Caenorhabditis elegans: one gene and its partner. The protein of the gene in region 2 purifies or fractionates together with the protein of the main gene of each other region. This does not show direct contact. Each region holds a gene or a part of one and is shown on either strand. Other genes may lie near its edges.

The links.
Region 1: the proteins of F55A11.1 (region 2) and mam-3 fractionate together in Caenorhabditis elegans (co-fractionation; one large-scale study listed by BioGRID). This does not show direct contact.

What each region holds. Positions count from the first base shown.
Region 1 is NC_003282.8:13,442,206-13,447,466, forward strand, and holds the start of mam-3 (MAM domain-containing protein), read right to left. Parts: upstream 3,171-5,261; 5' UTR 3,062-3,170; coding exon 2,920-3,061; intron 2,201-2,919; coding exon 2,073-2,200; intron 1,642-2,072; exon of another isoform or gene 1,540-1,641; intron 1,297-1,539; exon of another isoform or gene 1,179-1,296; intron 1,111-1,178; coding exon 944-1,110; intron 556-943; coding exon 293-555; intron 54-292; coding exon 1-53. Other genes in the region: uso-1 (Uso1_p115_head domain-containing protein), read right to left, coding at 3,827-3,970, 4,520-4,663, 5,087-5,261.
Region 2 is NC_003283.11:11,762,454-11,766,246, forward strand, and holds F55A11.1 (EF-hand domain-containing protein), read right to left. Parts: upstream 1,933-3,793; 5' UTR 1,926-1,932; coding exon 1,827-1,925; intron 1,696-1,826; coding exon 1,619-1,695; intron 1,574-1,618; coding exon 1,313-1,573; intron 1,201-1,312; coding exon 1,077-1,200; 3' UTR 686-1,076; downstream 1-685. Other genes in the region: T04F3.4 (EF-hand domain-containing protein), read right to left, coding at 394-448, 501-543; syx-5 (Putative syntaxin-5), read left to right, coding at 2,466-2,654, 2,731-2,913, 3,156-3,627, 3,673-3,770.

The DNA of each region.
Region 1 (5,261 bases), on a different chromosome or scaffold from region 2:
TGGACTATTATCATATGGAGGAATACGAAGAGATGAGAATGATGATGGGAATGCTGGAATAATTAATTTTAGGTAAAATGGGAGTGATTGAGATATTTTGTTAGATTATGAAGAGTGAGGCATTGGATTTTTCTGGATGTTCAGTGAAAGTTTAAAACTTCTCTAACAAATCTAGTTTTATTTTGAAAAATTTACAGAACAAAATCTTTTAAAAAAGGATTAAAAATATCGTTTTTTTTGCGCGCCAATTTGATTTTGACTGCTTCATATCTCGAATAACTTTAAAACTTACGTGATTGCTGGCAAATCTTTCCGTGATATCTGATATGATCAATGATTGCCAAACTTCCAACAGTATTATCTTTGAGATCAAATGCTCGAATTCCAATTCTGAACGGTTCCTTAATCGGCGGAATCTCGACACGACATTCCTCATTGGCGGCTCCCAAGAAATCACACTTCATTTTTGGTCTGAGCAAGACTTGAAGATGACGTCTACGATTCATTGCTCGAAGGATGATAACTTCCACTTGAGCATTGTTGTATAGCCAGAAGCTAGAAGGATATAACTGGGATTATAATTTTATTTTGGAATCTATGTTAGTTAGAGCACAGTATTTTGCCGATCGCATACTTTGTGAGCTTTTACTCAGGCAACTCAAATCTAATATGAAAATATTAAATAGCAATATTTTTGTAGTAAAAACGAGAAATTGTGCGTCATATAAAGATTACTAAAAATTTCGATTTTTTTTTTTTATATCAGCATTTTTCAAACTATTGAATCATAGAAGAACGCTTAGTTCGTTTTTTACATATTAAAAAAAATGCAAAGACAGTAGAGATCTAAGCTTTCAAAGAAGAGCAAACACATTTTATTTCAAAAAAAATTTAGGCCCTCCAACTTTGTGCTTAAAATTCTTAAAATTATCTTTGACAATACCTGAAAGTCAAGTTGGCAAATCCTTTTTGACAAGCAATTGGAGCACTGCTCAACACTGCTCCATTCGGATTTTTCGTCGTATTTCCAGCAATTATAAAATGTTCGCCTTTTGGAATTACAGGATTTCCGGGCTGGATTTGAACTGGGAAAGTTTTCTCGTCATTTTTCTGAAATTGTTTAATTTTTTAAAAAAGTTTTGAAAAATTGTAAGTATAGAATTTATAGATTTGTCTAACAAAATCGTCAAAAAATTTGGAACGCTTCACGAATTTGCGTGTCATCCTTGCGCAGGGGCCATGCTAATCTTCTCTGTATTGTTCCAATTTTAGTATATGTTCTCGGAAGAACAAACATTTAGATTTACATTTCAATTATATAGGGACCATTAACAATGCAGCTGGCATATTTGGAGTTATGTAAGACACTATACCAAATGTAGATGTAGATCAATAATTTGTGCACCTATTCTATAGCGATACCAATATCGATTTGCATCTCCACTTCCCTAGCATAGTCATAGTGTCTTACATAACTCCAAATATGTCAGCTGCTGTGTAAATGGTCCCTATATAATTGAAATGTAAATCTAACTGTTCGTTCTTCCGAGAACATATACTAAAATTGGAACAATACAGAGAAGATTAGCATGGCCCCTGCGCAAGGATGACACGCAAATTCGTGAAGCGTTCCAAATTTTTTCTATAATTTTTGGTGAACTTTCCAATGGTTCTAAAGTTGAACTGTATAATTGAATTGTCTGAATAAATTCTCGAAATGTTGCCACTTTCAATCGAGTTTTTGAAATGTTTTTTTTTTGAAACTTTCAGTTAAAACTAGTTCATAAAACCAATTAGTTGCCAAAATTAGTTGGTATCTTTTACATATTATTCGTCTCAAAACTGAAAGCTAAATATTGTATATTATACCCTGGCCTACATATAGCGTAGGATATGGAATTTCACATACATTTTTATTTCTAATTGAACAATTATACCACATTCAAAGTTTGTATTCAGCGAAATCTATAACTGAGATCGTGACAAGACCCACTCAGAAAAGGTTTTATATTCCAAAAAAAGAATAGAATGGCACAAGACATTTGAAGGAAAGTTTTTCATGAATAACAAACCTTAAAATACCACCAATCACTGGTATCCAAAAGCTTATCAGTCGGCGCATTTCTCCAAAGACATTCGGTCTCAAAGTCACAGTTGAGTTCATCAGGTGACTCAATATACGTGGCAAATCCAACGGCCTCTGAAATCCACGTGATTGTGGTTTTTTTTTGCAGATCCTCGTGGTTTGATAATTTTAGCTGTTTAAAAACAAAAAAACACTTCACATTAAAATTGCTTATTTATCACTAATTTTTAAGAACGAATCTAAAACCAGATTTTTTATGAAAGTAAAAATCGGCTGATTTATTGTTGTTACATACTTTTGTTACAGAAATTAGCGAAATATTAGCGAAATCTGGATAAAATACCGTAATTTTACTACTACTGTACTACTGTAGATTTTGAAGTACTTCATTAAAAGCTCACGGAATTATTCAGACGGGCCTCGGCGCGCAAAAAAGTTTATGGTAGTTTTATTTGTTCATTGGATGTAGTATTGTATTTTTTTTCAATGAAATCACATGGTTTTCAGCTGTAATAAATCGTTGACAATCAGTTTTCAAAGTTTAAATAAAAATTAAACTACCGCGAACTTTTAATTCCGTGCGCCTTTAATAAGGAACTACAAAATCAAGTAAATTTCCGATAAAGCTTAAATTTTTGGAAAAAAAAATCTCGTCAAAATTCAGAGTAAATCCAAAAAAAACTGGAAAATGTTGAAAAAAACATTTTTAAAAAATCGGGATGTGGCCATAAATTATTGAAAAAAAATTGAATTTTTCCAAAAAATCGAAAATTTAGACTTTTTTCGTTCGGAGCAAAAAACAGTAAATTCCTTCAAAAAACCAAAAAACCAACCTTCCACAGGAATCTCTCCATTATTATCTGGCCTAATACCAAGATACAAGTCTAAATATCGAAGCTCTTTTTGAAATTGAGCATGACATGCTTCTAGAGATGGTAGAAAAATGAGCAAAAGTGCAAATTTCTTCCAGATCATTATTTTCGAGAGGCAAAAAGGGTGTGTACAGGCGAAGAACAATGGCAGATGCGCGGGCCAGGAGAAGCAGGCGAGAGGAACGAACCGGCTTCCGAATCACTATTGATATGGAGAATAGACGGGTTCGTTATATCATTTGATCATTCACCGAATCCCCATTCAACCTGAGAGAGAGAATGATGGATTTCGGAATCAATCAATAATTTATTTGGACCATATTTACTATTAAGTTTTACATAAATAAAATTGAAAGGAAAAAAAAAACATAATTTCGGTATCACAGAAGACAGTGTGGTTTGAACGAAATGGAAAGAGTAGGTAGGGATACAAAAAAAACAGGAAGAAAATATTTTGCCAGCAAAATCACGGCGAATACGATATCGTAGATTTACAAGATCTCTGAGATGTCTTCTTAAAGGCGCACGGTTTTATGGGTCTCGGCGAGCCCAAAAAAATTTTTATGGTATTTAATTTTGTTTATTTTCTTTGCATTTATCACATAAGTTAAAAATTGTTTTAAATCAGTTTGAGAAAAAAAAACAAGAAAGCCGAAACATATCTGAAAAAAACCTGTGCGCCTTTAAGAAGACACTTAAAAAATCCTGCGAAAGTACGGTGTATGCGTTATAAATTAAATATTATACAGGAAACCTATTCGATTTAAAAAAAGAAAAGTTGATTGGAAGTATTACATGTTCTATGACAAGATTGACCCCCCAAAGAAAACAAAAAAGAAACCCGATTTTTAGTAATCCCACAGCCTTATTACTCGTCCTCATCATCTGTCACTGGCTGTTTTAGGTTTCGAAGAAGGCGTCGGTAGGCTGACATTTTATTGTGTTGATCAGCGAGAAGCATCAGAAGTTCTTCTTGTTCTTGTTTCAGTTTTGAAAACTCTTCGGAGTCAGCCTGAAAATTTGAAATGTTTGAATTATTTTCACTGAGATAAAGCTCAAAAGCTACTCATCGAAACGTTTTTATTTTAGTTTTTTTCCAGAGAAAATTGAAAAAAAAATGAAAAAGTGGATGAAAAATCTGTAGCAAAAAATAATTTCTTCAGAAAAAATCGAACCAAAATTTAAAAGTAGTTTTTTGAAAAACGAAATAATTAATTTTTTCATAGAAAAATTATATTTTAAGTGTTTGATATTTTTAGAATTTTTTATTATTTTTTCAGCTTTTTTCAAAAAAAAAATTGAAATTTTATCAAGTTTTGCTCAAATTAACCTCAAATATATAACTATTTTTATATATATATATATTTTTTCCTTCTTAAAAAAAAGAAATCTGTTAAAAAATCAAGGTTTCGAAAAACTGAAATTTTACACATTTTTTCGATTTTTTAATGAAAAAATCGATAATTTTGGTAAGATTTTCCATCTTTTCCAATAAAATTATACTTTTTCAGTGTTTTTTCTAGAAATTCCTGAAATTTCGAAAATTCCACTCGAATTCTACCTGTGGTTCGTGCTCCACAACTATTCCATTCGAAATTGGCTTCAAATTCAATTGCTCAATTTTATAATTGGCTTCAGCGAGAGCAGCTTCCGTTTTCGCGAGTCTATCTTTAAGATTTGCATTCTCTGATGTATAGTGGAGCATCTGAAATATGTAAATTTTATTTTTATGGTTATTTTATTTTTTTTTGGTTATTTTTTTTATTTTAGACCAAACGGAAGCCGAAAAAAAATTTTTCGAATAAATTTAAGCATCGAATTGTTTTTTGGTTTTTTTTGATTTTCGCAGATTTAAATGTTTAGTTTTTTGATCCAATTGTGTCATTTTTCGATTTTTCGATTTTCCGGAAAATCGAAAAAAATTTCCGAAAATTAACCACAAAATATGATTTTACAAAATCAAATTTTTGTTTTATTGATGAGAAAAAAAATAAATATTTTCATCAAAAAAAGAAGAACCCTGACCAAAATTTTAAGCTAATTTTTGAAAAATCGACAAATTTTTTTTTCGAAAAAACGAAAATTTTCGATTTTTCGATTTTCTGATAAAATCTCCTGTCTACCATACCGTTTGTGATTGCTGTTCGAATGCCTGATATCCAAATCCGAGTTGCTGCTCCAACTCGTTGACTTGTTGCTGAAGCTGAGCCAATCCCGTCTCTACACCATTCGGAAGCTGTGCCAACTGATAGGCTTGCCATTGTTGAGCCCATTGCTTGTATCGTTCGGCTTCTGCATACCAT
Region 2 (3,793 bases):
TTAGGAATGTCCAAAACGCTACCTATTTCTCAGCCGTGAAACTTTTTGACACCACCGGATGTGCGCCTTTAAAGAGTACAGTAACTTTTGTTGTTGTAGCGCTTTTTTTAATAGATTTTTGCTCAAATGCTTTAGTTAATTTTTTCAAAATAAAAAAATCAATTAAATCATATAAATTTTGAAAAATAGTGTACCAACAATGAAAGATCGATGAAATTAAAAAATTACAGTCCTCATTAGAGGCACACATCCGCTTGTATTTGACAAGAAGTGTCGTGTCGAGACCGAGTTATGTGCTTTTAGCGCGAAAATTGCTAAATTTCGCATATGGCATATAATTGCATCTACATTTACTTTAACCAAACTAATTTTCATACGTACACTTGCACTTACTCTTCATCGTGTACTTCTTTTTCTTCAGCAAACTTTGCTCCTTGAGCTTCTAGCACTAAAATTTAATAATTTATAAACATTAGAAAGTTATAAACAGATTTGCATACCTAATAGAAGGAATACAGTTGAGATGAATAAAAATCCACGCATTATAGAGTGGGAATATGTATAAAATCAATAGAAATAGACAGAAAACTCTTTTTCTCAAGACTGCCAAATGTCAATATTTTATTATCAGTCTCCCCCTGCTTCGCCTTTTAGTTCCAACGCAAAATTTGGTAGTGCAAAAGCAAAAGCAAACATGAATTTTATTGTTACAGGTGCTAAATACAAATTTTCATTTGTTTTTATTCGATCTCAACTAACTATAAGATAAACCAATAAATTATGCTTTTTACAAATGGGTTTCGAAAAATCATCACAACTTGAGAAATGATGGGGAAAATGCAAAATTGGAAAAATAACTAAAGTTGTAGGACTGGGAAATGGGGAGGGTGTCTGACTATTATGTACCAGTTAAAGTGTTAAAAGTGACGAGGATAGTATGATAAAATGATTTGTTACAGCAGTCGATATAACCCATCAAAAGACGTAGAATGTTAATAAAACATTGAAAACTTTGGAAACGAGGAATTGGAAATTATGGCTATTAATTAGATCGTTGTCCTAATCAGAATTCTCGATTATTGTGTGCCACCAGCTTTCTGCATTTGTTCCTGGTGAGATCTTGCTTGATCTTCTCGAAGCTTTTGTGCTTTGAGGAACTCTCCGTAGTCGATGAAGCCATCAGCATTGAAATCGTCGTCCCTGAAAATATTCAGTAAAGTATTTTTTTAAGACTTTGAATATTTTAGTGCTTTCTTATGCTAATTGCTAGCAGTAGTCTCTAGAAAATAAATTAATTAAATATATATCTCACTTTAAAATACTATCAATCATCGTCTCCAATTCAACTTCACTTGGGAGTGGTGGTGGCTGATGATTGGCATTGGCATTATTTTGTGTATGCTGTGGTCCTGGATTCTCGGCATGGAAATGCGTTATTGCCTTAATCAACTCGACTCCATCCAGTTTCCCATTTTTATCTAAATCGTGCATATTGAAATAATGGAATTGAAGTTGTTCTGGCGTCATGTTAGCAGTTGGGTCCACTTTTCCGTCCAAATGTTCTTTTATGTGGCTGAAATGTTTTAAATTAATTTTGAAAATTGTTATTAAAACTTACTGTTCATCTCTGGCCTGTTCTCCACCAAACTGCTGTTGCCCAGGCTGAGCATGTTGAGCTTGTTCCGCTTGGCCACCCTGATTTATTCAATACAATTTACAAAATTAAAGAAGCTTTAAAATAATAAAAATCACTGTATCCAGATTGTTTTTCAGTTCAATTTCTAGCGAAAATAATTTTCTTATTATTCTTTACAAACATTGTTTACCTGTTGTGGTTGCTGTTGATTAGAACCAGGAAACTGCTGTGGTTGGTGGGCAAAGGAACCAAGAATGAGGCAAGATACCACCAAAATGTTGGCTGCCATTCCTGTAATATTATAATCACTAAAATATAGACAAAACTAAGTAAGAATACAGAAAACGGAATCAAAAACGGAAGCGTGAAGTGGAAGCTGTTATTTTATTTGTGTCGATTTACGGGGAGATACGGTAATCGGGAGGCAACGTGTTCCAAATCTTACGGTAATCGCTGAAATTTCTTAAAACAATAAATCGAAACGAAAAGTTATGTGTATTTTTTTAATAAAATTAACTTGACTGAGCATTTTGGTTGAGAAATATAAAACTTAAACTGAAAATTAAACAAAAAAAAAAGAAAAACTAGTGCATTGAGGAGCGTGTTTGTTGCGCATAAAATACGCAACGCCACGCACAACCTCCGACCACACATTGATTTTCTTCTCCACGAAGTCGAGCCGGTTTAGTGGACTGTTGCGACAATGCAGCGAAATATTTGTTATTTGTTTTTCTTTTGAAATAATATTTTTACCGTGACATTTGAATATATTAATCTTTTCGACGCTTTCAGTCATTTAAACAATATTTTTCAGTTTGTTCGATGTCGGATGTCGGACTTTCACAACATTAGATCTCGTCGACGAATACCAGAAGCCAGTTCTTACTCAACAGTCGATTTTGATTACGATCCAGATCAGAAGAATCACACTTCAGCAGTTGCTCCGACTAGTTTCGCGTATAGCTCTCTCACAACCGTTTTCAACGCGTCAGCTTCACAACTTTGGAATTCTGCGCAGGTTTGTCTATCGGAACGAAGAAAGATGGCTATCTGTATATTTCTGGTTTTTATTTTTTCATGCATATATCTTTCAGGAGGCGCTTGTATCCTCCTACGACACAGCGGAAGGCACTGAAAGCATAGACGCAGATCGATCAAAGGTAGTAGAAACACTTGAATCGCTGAGTATTTTTGGAAATCCACTTGATCATATCATTATCACAATGCCATCAAGAGATCGAACTTCGGAATTCCGGGCGACAGCCAAATCATACGAAGTGAGTTTTTTCATTAAACTTCTAAAAATAAGCTTTTATTTCGAAACATTTACTTTTAAAACGTGTTATTCGGGTTTCACATCAACATTTGGACGAGACGAATATATCGATTTTTGCGAAACTCGAAATACACTTCGAACAGAAAAAAGAAACACGAATCACCTGTTAATATTTTTAAAAACATTCTAGGCGATAATATTTTTATTATTTATATAAAATTCGGGTAACATATAATTTTTCAGATGAAAGCAGCCGCAAATGGAATTAGACCTCAACCAAAGCATGAGATGCTATCTGAATCCGTGCAGTTCAATCAACTCGCAAAGCGAATCGGAAAAGAATTGAGTCAAACGTGTGCAAAAATGGAAAAACTTGCCGAATATGCTAAGAAAAAGAGCTGCTATGAAGAACGATCTCAAATTGACCATCTTTCATCAATTGTCAAGTCTGACATTACGGGTTTGAACAAACAGATCGGACAACTTCAAGAATTTTCAAAAAGACGTGCAGGAAACATGAAAAATCAAAATAGTGGACATATACAATTAGTTGTAGTTGGATTGCAGTCAAAATTAGCGAATGTCGGAAAAGATTATCAAAGCGTACTGGAAATTAGTACAGAAACAATGAAGGCTGAAAAAAATCGCCGAGATAAATTCTCGAGTGGTGCAGCAGTTCCAATGGGACTTCCTTCCTCCTCTTCCGGAGCTAATGGTATTTTATTTTCCTCGCTCATTCAATAAAAATCTGAAATTTTAGTTCGTTCAAAGCTTCTTCAAGATGATGAGCAGCATGGCTCCTCAAGCATAGCTCTGGATATGGGTGCTCTGTCAAACATGCAATCACAACAGACTATGGTAAGTTTTCAATTTGAAAAATA